Lytechinus pictus: one gene and its partner. The protein of the gene in region 1 interacts with the protein of each later gene in a biochemical or structural test. Links are inferred from orthologs where the notes say so. Each region holds a gene or a part of one and is shown on either strand. Other genes may lie near its edges.

Evidence for each region. The genes of interacting proteins can lie anywhere in the genome.
Region 2: the proteins of prolyl hydroxylase EGLN3-like (region 1) and peptidyl-prolyl cis-trans isomerase FKBP8-like form a complex in vitro, tested with the Homo sapiens proteins (2 studies listed by BioGRID, with this or other methods). The link is inferred for Lytechinus pictus from reciprocal best matches to the Homo sapiens genes EGLN1 and FKBP8.

Annotation. Positions count from the first base shown.
Region 1 is NC_087251.1:25,490,739-25,498,270, forward strand, and holds the start of prolyl hydroxylase EGLN3-like, read left to right. Parts: upstream 1-4,469; 5' UTR 4,470-4,694; intron 4,695-5,208; exon of another isoform or gene 5,209-5,557; 5' UTR 5,558-5,593; exon of another isoform or gene 5,594-5,865; intron 5,866-6,427; 5' UTR 6,428-7,532. UniProt on the Homo sapiens protein: Cellular oxygen sensor that catalyzes, under normoxic conditions, the post-translational formation of 4-hydroxyproline in hypoxia-inducible factor (HIF) alpha proteins.
Region 2 is NC_087249.1:25,195,649-25,203,171, reverse strand, and holds the start of peptidyl-prolyl cis-trans isomerase FKBP8-like, read right to left. Parts: upstream 3,010-7,523; 5' UTR 2,880-3,009; intron 2,796-2,879; coding exon of another isoform or gene 2,787-2,795; exon of another isoform or gene 2,772-2,786; intron 1-2,771. Other genes in the region: DNA-directed RNA polymerase III subunit RPC7-like, read left to right, coding at 6,470-6,595. UniProt on the Homo sapiens protein: Constitutively inactive PPiase, which becomes active when bound to calmodulin and calcium. Seems to act as a chaperone for BCL2, targets it to the mitochondria and modulates its phosphorylation state.

The DNA.
Region 1 (7,532 bases):
ACTTGGCTCTTAAGTATATTTTATTCTTTAAATTATTTTTTTCTTAATTAAAAATAGAGATTGAAAAATAAAAAATTTCTTGCCATATTACTTTCAACCAATAGAGGGCGTACACAAAAATATGCCCCAAATTCAATTTTTTGAGTGCTCTGGTGAATACAAAAATTATTCCTAAGTTACTAATGAAAAATAAATTGCAACTGTATGGAAATTAGTAATTTTGGTCACAAAAGTGATATTTTAATGATTTTTAAAGTGTGTGCTCTGTACAGCATTGGCATACCATAGTTAGGCACGGCCGTAGTCACTAGATGGCGCTGTCGCGGAAGTGCTCCAGGGGGGTGAAACTCCGCTTCTGCATCCGGTCAGAATTGAAGAAAATTTTGGAGGGTCAAAAGTGCACACTGCTCCCATTTTTCGTATACAAGCCTATGGACACCGCCACTGTTTTGGTACACCAGCGAAATGAAGGCGTGGTCACGGAACGTCCTTCGCGCATAGCGTAAAAATATGTAAATTAGTATTTTGTCACTAATTAGCATAATGCGCGACCTGATTAATAATCGTTTATGGTGTCTGTCAGTGATTACATCATGTCAGATCATTCGTTTTTTTCCTCCTCAGAGTTTTATTATTCATCTATTTTAATGATCTATTTGTTATTGCTTGTTACGATTATTACTGCATCTTTGCTTTGTTTTAGCTGCAAATGGCCAGGATCTTTGCTAAAAAATATTACAGAGGAGGTTCCCAAAGAAAATGTTGCCATATACGATGACATCTCTTTAAGTTTCTGGAGCCCTTTTTTCTTTTTATTGCAGAAAACGAAATGAACCTCTTTTCATAATATAAACAAAGATAATAACAAATCAAATTCTTTTCCATAATTGTAGTCTCCAATATAAGTCCTATTATGAATAGCAGTCCTCGGAGCACTTGATTTTAAATGGCGACTTCTATGTCAAACATCAATAATAATGACCTAGGTATATACCATATTTTAGGGGGGAGGGGGTTCTCAAAATTAAATAGGCAAGAGAGCAAACCGATCGTAGGCTATTTCTTTTTTATTTTCAACTGAAAATGAATCTGGTGTAATTTTCATTTGGAAAGAAAAAATACATTTTATATGCAGGTTTCAAAAATTTGGAGAAATAATTTGCCCCCCCCCCCCGTCATGAACAGTAAGGTCTTATGGTTGCTTCTTTCAAAACAAACTGAACTTTCACCCCCCCCCCCATCTCTCTCTCTTTCTGTCTGTCTCTCTCTCAGAAACTGACATAACTATATGCATACAAGCAAATAATCTCCTGTCATTTTACTTTCTTTCCCACTCTTATCCTTATTTTTCTTGAATAATATTTTAATTGACTGCTGTTTGATCTCATGTAACAGTGGTTCATTTCACATTTCAGTACAGTGCAACATCTTGTGCCATTTGTGCATAACAGCTCAGAAGCAATACATTATCACAATTAATTGATAAATGAAAATTACCAAGATAAAAAAATTCAATTCAAAATTAACATGTTTATTAAGGAATCCATTTTCTAAAACATTGACATTAACATAAAAATAATAATTAGCATCTACCAAGCATTAAATTGTATTTTAAAAAATGAAGGCAATGCATAGCTAAAAAGGGCTGTTACTGGGTAAGGGTAGTATGGGGTGGGTATATAAATGTACAAAAATAGGATTAAGTACATTTTTCTACATTGTACAATGTTTGTTAAAATTTCATTCAAAGGATCTCGATGAGCCTATAGTTAATATTCCATAAAAGAGCATAAAAACCTTTGATATTCGTTTATTTTCTTCCACAAAAGTTTATCACTAAAAAAAAATGGTAAATTCCTTTCAAATTTGCTGACAAGAAATAGTCTTCTGATGTGAGAGCACTCCTCATAAGGGGGGGGGGGGGGTGGGACACAATGCCAGAATCCTAAAGAGTGCCTTCCCCAATCAATACATTAGCGAATCATTAACAAAATTTGATTTGTCTACTGTCACTGTGCTTAGAATTCAATCTATTTTTGAAATATAGTCTATTTATATATTATTGCAGTGGTAGCCCATTTCACATTTTTTTAAAATGAAGATAACAATAAATGCAACTTAATAACCCTACATAATTTATGAAGACTTGCAGTGGCGTACCGTGGGTCACGGCATCGGGGGGGCACCAGCAAAAATTTTGAGACCGTTTCATATCTCTTCTTGGCACTTATGTTGTGATACCAGTACTTAAACAGCTTAGGAAGTGGGAAACCTGCATGGTAAAAAAGAGAAAAGAACATAATAAGCTGTAAATTATTTTTACTCATCTAGTCCAGTTTAGTAAAAAAAAGATGTAAACTCTATTTTATATCTTCAGTGATAAAACAAGTTTAGCACATGCAGTCACTTTCGTCCCACATCCAGATAAATTCATATATCAATATAACTATCTACAGTATGTTTTGAAAATAAAAAGTGAAAATTAATTCAAATATTTATCAGAATTTTGTGATAACTGTTAATATCTTGGGTTTTTTATGCAAATGCATGTATAGACAGGAGATATGGATAATTAGTATGCAGTGTTAGAAATGGAAATACTGGTGAATCTGAATTCAAACAAATATTAACTCACAATGGAACTTTAACATTACATGATATCGCATCATGTTTCAGCACAATTGGCCATAGCCCACCCCCTCCCAAAAAAGGGGAAATATTCATTTTTTTTTTTTTTTGGGGGGGGGGTGATGAGCTTAGATACAGCCTGTATATTATCAAAACAGTAAGCATACCTTGCAATTTTTCCATTCAGATATCCTGTTCCTCATTAGATTGTAACTAACACTTGCTGATCGGCATGGTTCTCAATTTTGTACTTCTGACTAGGTGTGAACTGCTAAGAACTTGGTCCCACTGGATCTGCAATTGACAATTTAAATTTGAGAGTTTTAGAGATAATAAAATTACTCTTCTTAAACAATATTTTTGAAATTTCCAGCTGCCCATATCCCAGGTCTATGAATGAATATTCCAAACTAGAACAAAAAAGTTATCTGGACCCGAAACTTCATTCTCTATCACATAGAGGCATAGGCCTACCTCACTCTGTTTATAAAAGTAAAATGATTCCAACCACATATTTCTACAGCTGTATATAGCTGAATCTGGTCTATGCTGGGCCTGTATAACTTAAGAATCACATCACATTTGAATGAAGTAAACACTAAGAACGTTTTCAAATTACCACCCCAGGCCGGACCCAGGGTATCCTGTTCAAATAGACTTGATTTAGGTCTAGGGTAGGCTACGCCATTTCATTCAAATCTAAGACTAAGACAAGTAACACTTATAACATAACAGACATTAATGCTAAGTCAATCGTATTTCAACACTGATTATTCTGAAGTAAAGCGTTCCTGAATAAAAGAAACTGCTGAGAATTATACTTATTCATATGAAGATGAAATAGAGGGGACGGACTAGGCCTAAACTTCAACTTTCAAGCTTGAAGTTTGGGCCTAGTCCGTCCCCGCTATTTTCATACCCCATGACTACATCGACAATCTCGCTCGGCTAGCACCGGCGATATCAAAGGCCGGATCCCGCTCTGACCATATCCCTACATTGACCTAAATTTGAATAGGCCTAAAATCGACAGTTTGTCGTTACTAAAAAACAGGAGGTCGGAAACAAGTCCACATCTACCCCTGATAATTGTCTAATCACAATAAAACTGAAATAAAGGTTTACTTTGGACCTACATGAAGCATTCCGATGAATGTCTAGATCTACGACAAACTATAGACCCCTAGACCCTAGTCCTAGATATAGTATTTTTGAGAAACTCAATGATCACACTTATTTGGAAGTCAGGCAAAAGAAATATTGAAATTGAGGTTTACATACGGTAGTGCGTAATACAGGATGAGCCCCGAACCCCGGCAAACACATTACAATTTGCAAGTGAGATCAAAACATGAAAATGAGCGTAACTTACTTTTATTCCTATGGAATGTCATTAGAATAGTATTGATGTTCCCTCCAAGATTTTCCGCTCCAATGAAGTTCACTCAGAAACCATGATTTCGAACATCAATTCTATAAACAGATAATTAGTCTAGCTATTTCGTTTCAGAAACTTCAAATTCGCAGAGTCCAAAAGAACGACACTTCGCACAGATATCGTAGGGAATTGTGGGACGGAAAAAAATGTTTAATGCATGAGTACATGAATAAAACATTAGCGTTTAATCCAATCATACAAGTGCATTATGCGTATTTTGACGTCATTCTCATGAATAAAACATTGACCCTCCAAAATCATCCTTCAAATTGTCCGCCGGCAGCCATGTTGGCTATGTACAAAACCTATGGGAAATAAAAACGCGCGGAAAGAGTTCCCTCTCTAGCTCCCTTCGGGAGCTTATACGTAAGATCGTATCTCTGTGAAGTGCTCAAAATTTGTACGCAAGCTTCGTTCGCATGTCAATCATTGCAATCGCATAGCGATGCGATATCGTCAAAATTAAGCCCCTGTTAGCGCGGATGTGTATGATATTTTCTCTTTGTGATTGTCCTCCCGTGCGATGAAAAATATGTCATCGTATTGCACAGGACTTTCGCGAGCTACCGATACCATTTTCGTGCCCCAAATTCCATGAAATCTTCCGAAAATAAACATGAAAGTGTCGGTAAGTCGAAAATGTCTTGAGTTGCTTTCAATTCTTACCTTATTTAGTTGTATTTCTTGTAAAATGGGTCTCGAAGGGTTCCGGATTTTCCGTTGATTGTGAAACTTGAGTTGATTTCCTTTCTGTGTATTGCAGTGAAATTGCAGCGCGGGGAATCGCAAGGGCTGGGGAAGCCCTTCTCAGTGAGGTTTGCAAGCTGAGCTGTCCTTGAATTTGGTCGAATTTCGAGCCATTTTAATCGCGCGCGGGATGATTAATTTACATCATAATAGAGATTAAGATTACGTCACGTACGTGCGTACCTGTGATAGACACAGAAATGAAATTGAACTTGAATCACACGGAATCACAGTCAAGAAATGCTTTGTTTTCTTCGTTTGCTGAATGATTTCCTGAATTTAAAATCATGAATAAACACCAGAGTAATGACATGAATAAGATAATCATGGTCATATTTGAGAAATAACTAAATATTTTCTGAAAACGAGTGAAGACGATGGGGTATTGATGTGCATGCACTGGAAAATGAACATTCACTGTCAGTGTCAGTGCCGTGGTGTCAGTGTTTTACTGCCAATACTGGCTTTACTTTTGCACTGGTTTTTCTTTTGCCAACTACCGGTACTAGATTAAAAACTCATTTATTGATATGTTTATTGCAATTTTTGAATAAATGGTAATACAAAGTGGGAAAAAAAAGATAAATGAAGATAAAAATAATTTTGACTAAAAACTTGTCATGCCATCACCCCCCCCCCTAAAAAAAATACCCACTATCTTGAATGACTCAGGTAATTTAATTTGTATTGAAAAAAATAAACAATTGTATTTATGCATTTTATATTTCTGATTCTTTCTGCCAGAATACCAGATGCCATCATGAATAACCTCACCACCAGGTTGAACTCCTAAACATCTTGATGATGACTATCTCCCGAGATATATCTTGCCTTCTTGAGATTGGAAGTTTTAAGTTCAAGTCAGAGCGACCTAAGGCCCTACTACCAAGAAGAATCCAGATTTACATTTAAAAAAATCCCACGAAAGATACAAACTGATTTTACTATTAATGTGTAGTGTGTGTGTGAGACACTGTTTGTGTTTATTTTGATGAGGATCTCCTGTCTCTTTTTATTATTTCATTGACTGAATGAATGATCAATACCTAAAAGTGAGAACTGATTTTTGAGGAGAGTAGATAAGTGTATGGTTTTGAGTGAATTTGAGTAACTTTTGTTTTTACCGGTACCGGTATTTTTTTCATCATTATTATTATTTTGCCTTTTATTACATATTTTCAGTTTATTTAACATTAAGTTTAAGTAACCAAACTTGATCAAAGTGTTCAATTTTTGGGATAGAATTTTGTAATTTCATTTATCAGGTAATAAAACTGAGTTTGGTAAATCTAAAAAAGGACACTAAAAATATGAACACTTGGAGATGCTCACTAAGATGAGGAAAAAACATGAAAGGAACTGGAACTTAAGTGGATGTTATAGCATGCCTTTTGAAGATCTCCAAGCACCTGGAATCATAGGCGGTGGAAGTGGGGGGGGGGGGACGTATCCCACTAAATTTTAGGTGGGGAGGGGACGACCCCCCCCCTCAATTTTTTGTTGATAACCTTTTTTTTTTTTTTTTTTTTTTTGGCTTGTCAATTTTCACTTGTTTCCTGTGTCCCCCCCCCCTAAGATTTTTGGTCACTATTTTTTTTTTTTTTTGTCAAAAAGTTTTGGCGGTTCCCCCCTAAAATTTTTGGCTTCCGCCGCCAATGCCAGGAATGATGATGTTCAACTGAGAGTCGCTGAAGTGGAACTTGTTGCAGAGAATGATTATTCCAGGACAAGTTAGATGATATTACCCAGCCCATACATCACAACAATGGAAGGGAGACAATATACCCCTGTACTACGTGAAGTATCATATTATCTTCAGGTTGGTTTGGAAAGTAATAATAGTCCTCTAGTCAATATTAACGTCTGTCCAACATAATGGTACTATCGAGCAATTTGGGGGTTCAATCACAAACAGCAAAAGTTTAGTAAATTGACACTAGTAAGATAATTAAACAAATATAATACAGCCAAACTGTCTGACCCCTTACTTGACTACTGACTTAACTACTTATTAAAAAATGACAAGTGATGCTCAGGCCCTTTGTAACCATTGTATTGGGCAGACTTTGAAGCAGATGACTAGAATTCATACTTTCATGAAGATGAAGGAAGATCAAAAGAATTATTACAATTTAGCAAATATGAAATTAGAACACTGTCATGGTTATAAAAAATAATGAATTTCTATCCAGTAAAATGACAATACAATGTAAGAAATAAGTGCAATCAAGTAATTTCATTTGCAAAAGATATTTTCCATAATTTAATAACCAAATTTCTCAAGATAATATTCTTCTGCACAGAAGTGTATGACACGCTCAGTGTAAATCATGCTGTTTATAAATCTCTAGGAAACCTTTTTTTTCAAAATGAAAATACATGTAAACTTAATAAAAACCAGGGGTGGATCCAGGATTTATCCTGGGGGGGGGGGCCACATTTTCATGATGAAAATTTGTCAAGCAAAAAAAGGGCCTTGCTTTCCGGGGGGGGGGGGGGGGGGCATACTTTGGTGAAAATGGCATATTTTCATTACAAATCTCGACTGAGGCTCTCTAAGGGGGGGGGGGGGTGAGCCAGATGTGCCCTCCCCCAGATCCACCAGTGATAAAAATCAACATTTGTGAAAGATGGCATACGTACCTTATACTGAATTGGTAAATTCAATGCATATGTCTACAAAATGAAACTGACATGTTTGAATAAATTGCTTATTTTT
Region 2 (7,523 bases), on another chromosome or scaffold:
AATACCCCTTCCAGCGCTTCTCGCTAGCATTGCGGGAAGAGTCTAGACTGCAGATAAAAACCAGGTGAGTTCGAGTCCCAACTAAGGTAAGCAACAGTAAAAAAAAAATGATAGAAAAATCTGAGCGAACCGGAAGTAACAACAATTGGGTGTCTGGAGAAAAAAATTATTTTTCTTATTTCAAGAAAATATCACATTTTCTTTGTGAATTTGAAGAGAAATGACCTTCAGAGTTCAGACTGACAGAAATGTAACATTTTTGAAAAAAAAATCAATTATTGGCTGCAAAAAAGAATGAAATTAGGTCAATTTTCAGCATTTCTCTGCCATAGACTGTGTAGTTAAGAAATGGACACACACAATTCCAAATTTTTAGCTTCCGAGAACTGTTATGAATTTATCATTAATGCCAAAAACTTGTCCATAAAGAGCCCAATATGATTTTTTATGCTCTTTCTGATGGATGGTATCATTTTTATAAAGATTTGGAAACCAGATTACAATGAAAAATTGCGACAAAGTGAACTAAATTGTGCAGAACAGACGTTTCATTTTCCTGTAGAAAACGCATGGGGAAATGGCAATCTCAACACACACACAAATAAGCCTAAGTTAGGCCTAAGGGTTTGCAATTTATCTATAAATCCTTATTTAAAATGATCATATAAACTTGTCGATGTCCTTACTGTCAAAAGAAGCCCCTGAATTTTCTCTTTCCATACATGCCAAACACATGTTAATAATCAATTCAGATCACATTTTTCTAGCAGCCTGAACTTCCCGAAAAAATGTGCCATATTTTCCCCTAAATCAGCCTGTTTTATGCTGACACTTTTCGGTGTGGCTTCAAACACCCTATCATTTATATCAACTCTTTTGTAATTTGGTGGGGGGGTGCATATGGAACTCTTTCGAATAAATTGTGGAAGTTTCTATTCTCATAAACAAACAGAATCATAACTAGGATCAGTAAGGACAGTAGGTGTCTGTCTTAATGTTGTAACCCGCAAGTGAAAACCAGAAGCGTACCGTCCCGTATAATCCAATAATTTGCAAGCGGGACCCGCTGACCCGTCGGGTTTTAACCCGCAAGTCAATTTATCTTTGAAAAATATATTATTTCTGCAATCCCTACACTATACAGGCTCAAATCAGGAAAATATATGCCAACTACTAACCTAGCCTAGAGTGAATTTACTTACAATTTGCAAATTCGCCTTTAATTCCGGAGAGAAAATGTTTTTTGGGGTGACTTTGTACCACGAAATGGGTCCGCTCTGATCTCGAAATTGAAAGCATTACGCAATTAACTCCTCTGATTGGAGCCGCAGCTCAGCGCGCGCTAGCTAGCCCAGGCTGCCCAGCAAAGATCGGCAATGTTGTTTTTCAGTCCAGGTCGGTCGACACGGCGACTCACAACAATCATAATTACAATATTCAATTCTATGGGACCTCGTCTATAAAGTAATCAAAATTGAAATAAATACCAGGATAATGATACAGTAATTTTTTCTTCTTGTATATATATTATTTCCTTCTGTTTTTGTATTTCTTCCAATTCTTTGTACTAAATACAAACGTGCACGAGGGCGCCCATGAACTTACGTAAACAGCTCGTGTTACTAGTGCTTAGCTAGCTTAGCTAGGCTTTTATTTATTTTTTATTTTTTATCTCTCTCGATCGATCGGTCAAGAGAGAGGTATTTGCAAGAAACTTGCAATCCATTGCAATCCCATTTTACATCTTCAGAAATCTTAAAGACTTTCAATCAATTGTACATCGGAAAAATTAAGAGTGCGGGGGCTTCAGTTTTCATCAGAAAATGTATGAAATAACGAAAAGGAGGGTTAGACTAGACCAGCTTAGCGTGTCTTCAAAAAAGGGCAGCTAACACTCTGACCTGACGGCACGCTCTATCAGGTCATGACCTAATTTGGTAATCCAATAAGCAAACAACTGTCTCACTGCCGTGCACCGCAAATCCCTCGAGCTCAAACAGCGAGCGTTGCCGTGGAAACAGGCTCGACTCGCCCCACTCCAAGTCATAAAGCATTTCTTTCTCTGCCACGTGGCCTATCACTCGCTCCTTGCCAGACATGATTACGCAATGTATTCTGGCTTCTGTTCACATTCTCCGAACACATCCCCTCCCCTCTCTCTCTATCTCTCTCCCCCTCTGCCAGTCGTAAAACATTCCTTTCTCTGACTGCGCTGCACTGCACTGGCGCTCCTTTGAAAGAGCAACTCGATGTATTTTATTAATATTATGTCGAACTGTCTCAGTCCTGTTCACTGTTCACAGGACAAAAATACGCCGGCATTTTTAAAAAAGGAAATATCTACGTCTCTAAAAGAATCCGCTACGTAAGAAGCACATGATCCTAATTCAATTTTCATTGTTAATGTTTTTATTATGCGTCGTTACTTCTCCCTTTTTTTCGTATGACGGTCTGCGGGTTTGAGAATGAACTCGGCCCGGCCCGCAATCCGCGATGGGGTGCATACCGGCAGGTTAACCCGTACCGCAACGGGTGCGGGTTACAACACTACTAGTCTGTCTAACATTAGATGTCAAACAGGCGCAGGCGACATCCTTCAAAACACGAGACCTCATTCGAATGAGTGCACAGGGGACACCACAACTATCGGCAACACGTGCAATATATTACGCACACAAAGAAATGGATGATATCACGATTCCTTGATACATGTGTTCGGATAGCACACGATCGAAATCACCGGCTGTTTGAGGGATGCGATGTTAACTTCGCAGTAACTGGATAGAATGGAAAGAGTGAATAATTTCCTATAGTAAACTCCCATATGGTTTATTATTTAAAAAGAACTACTCAAATTAGTTCATATCCGGCTATCTTACCACACAAAAATAGATGTACAGTGATCAGGACTCGTCAATAACTCACGCAAAAAGTAAATTTTACAGAGCTTCAGTCTTCACGCAATGCCACTGGGTATGGTGTCTTTGCTATCACATGATTTTTTAAATCTTTTTTTTAAATCTCATAGTCGATTACCAACGCCGAATACGGTAAATCATTGGCAAAACTCCCGGGGGCAGTCAAAATACAGGGGCCGCGGAAGCGGGGGGCTGGGGGGCTTCAGCCCCCCCCCCCCCTCTTTTTTCAAAAACCGTGTACAAAAACGTAAAAATGACGACCATATGATTGTGCTAGTGCCCTTGGCTTTACTTACTTACTTACTTATATGGATACTTATGGATGCTTCTGAACGCAGTCTAAGACTCTATATTCAGTTCCAAATTCTGTCTCCTCTTTAGGTTGGCCGGCATGTCCTGGTGGGTCAGCGTCAAACTTGTACTTCACAGGTTCACATTTCCAATACTTATCCAGTCCATTCTCGAAGCTGTGGACACTGGGTGCATTAGTAATTCATTACTTAGGCTATTCCAAGGTTTCCTCATTCTTATGTAAAAAGAATTCTTACGTTTCTCAGTTACTGACCTCGGAATGTACAATTTCTTATCATGACCTCTGGTAGGCCCATGCACCTGGCCCAAATCTGGCACTACCTCTTGGTCATACCTGTGAAATAACTTGTATGTTTCGATCATATCTCCTCGCGCACGGCGATATGCTAATGTAGGAAGTTTTAGTTGAATCAATCTTTGTTCATATGGAAGGTTCTTTACTTCAGGTACCAACTTAGTGGCCCTTCTTTGTACATTTTCTATTGCTTGAATATGTTTCTTTAAGTATGGACTCCATACTGCATGAGCATACTCCAAGTGAGGTCTAATCAATGCTTTGTATAGGAGTAGGAGGTTCTCCTTGTGAAGATAATAAACAAATGTTCTCCTAATTAGATTCATAAGCCTATTGGCTTTATTTATCTTTGACTGAAAGTGCTGGTCAAAACTAAGCTTTGTGTCGACAATCACTCCTAAATCTTTACTAGTTTCAACTTGTGATAGATTATGTGAAGCATTATCATGTGTCATAGTATATTCATTGAATTCATCATTCTTTGTACCAATAGTAAGTACACAACATTTATCCGGGTGGAACTTTAATAGCCACTTGTCTGACCATGACACAAGACGATCTAAGTCCGCTTGTAATAACTCAGCATCTCTGTCATTATTAACATGCATGCTTGTATAACTTGGTGTCATCTGCAAATAAACTAACAGTACTTGACGAAATCTGATCCGGTAAATCATTAATGTACATTACAAAAAGCAGGGGTCCGAGGACACTCCCTTGCTGTATTCCGCTGGTTACATCAGCCCAGTCAGAGAACACACCATTCACACAAACTCGGTGCTGTCGACCAACAAGAAAAGACCTCTGACCCACTTACATATGAGCTATAGATATGCCAAATCCCTCAATTTTGGCTAAAAGTCTCTGGTGTACGTGGGACCTTATCAAAGGCTTTCATGAAATCTAGGTAGATGACATCAACTGCACCACCAACCTCCAACATATTCGTCCAATCATTTAACACATTGAGTAATTGTAACATTGTTGATCGTCCTGATACAAATCCAAATTGTTTTGAACTGAGAAGGTAAGGAATTTATCCTCATTACCATGTCCCTCGGAGAGGACCTTAAGCTGTCGGTCCCCTGGTTGCTTGCTCACAGGCATTCGTGCTTTCTTAGTAGTCAGGTAAAAAACCTCGATATAATGGGACTTTTTGCATGGTCATCAGCCCCCCCCCCCCCACTTTGAAAACCTTTCCGCGGCCCCTGAAATGTACTGCTGTACACATGGGTAACTAAATTATTTCCAAACACCTCCTAAATGAGTTTTTTTCTGTGTGCAAATAATCACCATAACAAGTTTTTCGCGGGCAAAGTTATTTTGGCCCCTATATACATGTATTGTTGTCGCAAAAAAGCTTGGGGGCAAAAATACGTACCCTAAACACGTATGGCTATATAGTTTATAAAAAAAAACATACCCTGTACGTTTGACCCTGTGATTGACCAGTGACCATATAAACCACCGTTTTTTTTTTTTTTTTTTATCGCGGTGTTTTTTTAATGAGTGCATGTACACGCGGCCCGCGTCCAAAACTAAAAAACACCCCTTTAATCATCATCATCATCTGTACGGGAGGGTAGGTATATAGCCCTGTAGATCTCCCGGTCGTAAACGCTTGATGCATAATTAAAAGTCTAACAATTAAGTACAGTGCGGGCGTGGATGTAAGACAATTTCAAATGTAATGCATGACCAAAAAGAATCTAATCCGTGTTTAAATGAGTTAATACTGGAGGACATAGTGTTGCAGGCAAACTATTCCAAGATTATTGGATCACTCTTTTACTGAAAAAGCTGCTGCGCGTCAACCGACAGTGAGTTGTCACATGAACAGTTTGAAGGGATTGTTCCCTTAAATAAGTTTTTTGTCATGTACTGCAATATATTTGTGGTGGTGAAAGTGGTGAAAGCTATTATAAAAAGGAAGGGAGTAGGATAGAGGGCGGGATCATGATGTATATATATAGAGGGGTCTGGTATGGATGAGGTACTACACTAAGCGCAGGAGGTAAAAACCCTAGTAAAAACAAAACAAAAGCACAGAAATAATAAAAGCCTGACACAGAACGCTATAGGTTACCAGTATACGAGAGAAATAAGAGAGCTAGGGTGTTGTCGGGTGTAGGGTGTATATAGGCTCCATTTTTTTTTACCCGGAGGGTGCCACTCCACTGGCTTGACGGTATACACACTGGAACTATTCACAGACCCTCACAATCGATACACACAGCAGAGAAAAGTACCGAAATAATTTTATAAGGATATACAGAAGGAGTTAATTGGTTTGGAATAAAGGCCGGGGCAGCTAGTCTATAAAATAAAAGTCAAATTATAAGCTTGTCTACGTATAGCAATGGGATTTTTTTTTATTAATAAGGGGCAATTATACCTGTCTATAAAATAAAAGTAAAATTAAGCTTGTCTCTACGTATAGCAATTGGATTTTTATCTATTCATCGATTCCATTCATTTACATGTTTGTTTGCTTATTATCCTCATCATCATTAAATTGTTATCATCTTTATTTATTTATCTATTCATTTATTATAATTATTATCATTATTATTATTATCATCATCGTCATCATCGCCATCATCATCATCATCATCACCATCATCATCATCATCAGGATCACGGATGGGGTGGGAGTAGTTCTAGATTTATACCAAACATGTCCATATAGCTCATTTTCACACATACGTGTAATATTAAGCAATATCTCAACGTATCATTCTGATTTTATTTATTATTTCATAAAATTGCCAAAATATATATTTCCATCCCCTTATAGCTCTAGTCACATTTATTTAAATTCAATTCAAGTTAATACCAATTTTATTTTTAAAGACACCATACTTTCAAGTGGGTTAGAGGAAGAACTTATTTATTGTTTTAAGTTTAAGTTCCTTTTAAAACAACAAACCAGTGCTACTTCATTATGGCTGGAAGAGGTCGAGGTCGCGGGCGTGGTCGAGGGTCGTCGTTTGCTGCTGATGCCCTTGGATTAGGAAGAGGAGGAGAATCATTGCCACCTCCCACTGCTCAGCCGCCACCGCTTTTTCCTGTGAGTCCCACATCATTGCAAATTATGTTGGTCAAAAATGCGCACGGTGTTGCCGTTCCGATTCCGACTAAAATATGTCTCAAGATTTCAACATCATCAGGATGGGCTGATTCAAATCACGTTGATTTAAATCATTATTGAAATCGTGATTTTAATCTCTATGATTTTTTCTAAATCATTGATATAAATCACTTCCAGTTCCACTGGAAACATGTAGGCCTACGGTACACTACAATTACAATTACAAATGATTGACAATGACATTTTTTTATTTGTGGTAGTTTTATTTTTTTCCTCAAAATAGAAAGATTTTATCAATTCTATATCATCAAAACATAAATAAATGCTTCATATCTACTAAAAAAATTGAAATCATGTCAGTAAAATCAGGTTGATCTTGCAAGGTAGCCTATAAATTATGTTATGGTTTAACAATCATGACAATAACAATTAACATGTCTCAGACTTAGTCTTACTCTTAGTCTTAGGCCCCTAAAACGCACTCACACAAGCATGCGAGGTTAGTATACTAACCTCGCACAACGCATGTCATTTCATAATGAATTTTGACGTTTTCGTTCATCACACGAATGTGAGAATATGAAACACGCCTAAATCTTCACAATATACTATTACTAAATTTAGTCATCTTAATCTTATATTATTTATAATGTAATCTAATTTTAAAAATCAGCACGAACTTATCTATAGAAATGGATTTTAAACGCTTACCTCCAAATCTCAGCCAGTTACTCCATCCGATCCTTAATACTGCGGTGGAAATTATGCAAACAACGATCGATATGCGAATTTTTCCTATCGAACAGTCTAGATTCAAGTCGCCGGCGCATAATAGGAAATTGTACCAAAAATCAACAGGTTGCATGTCACGTATAATCGCTGATGGTGCTACATCATAAAATAACGC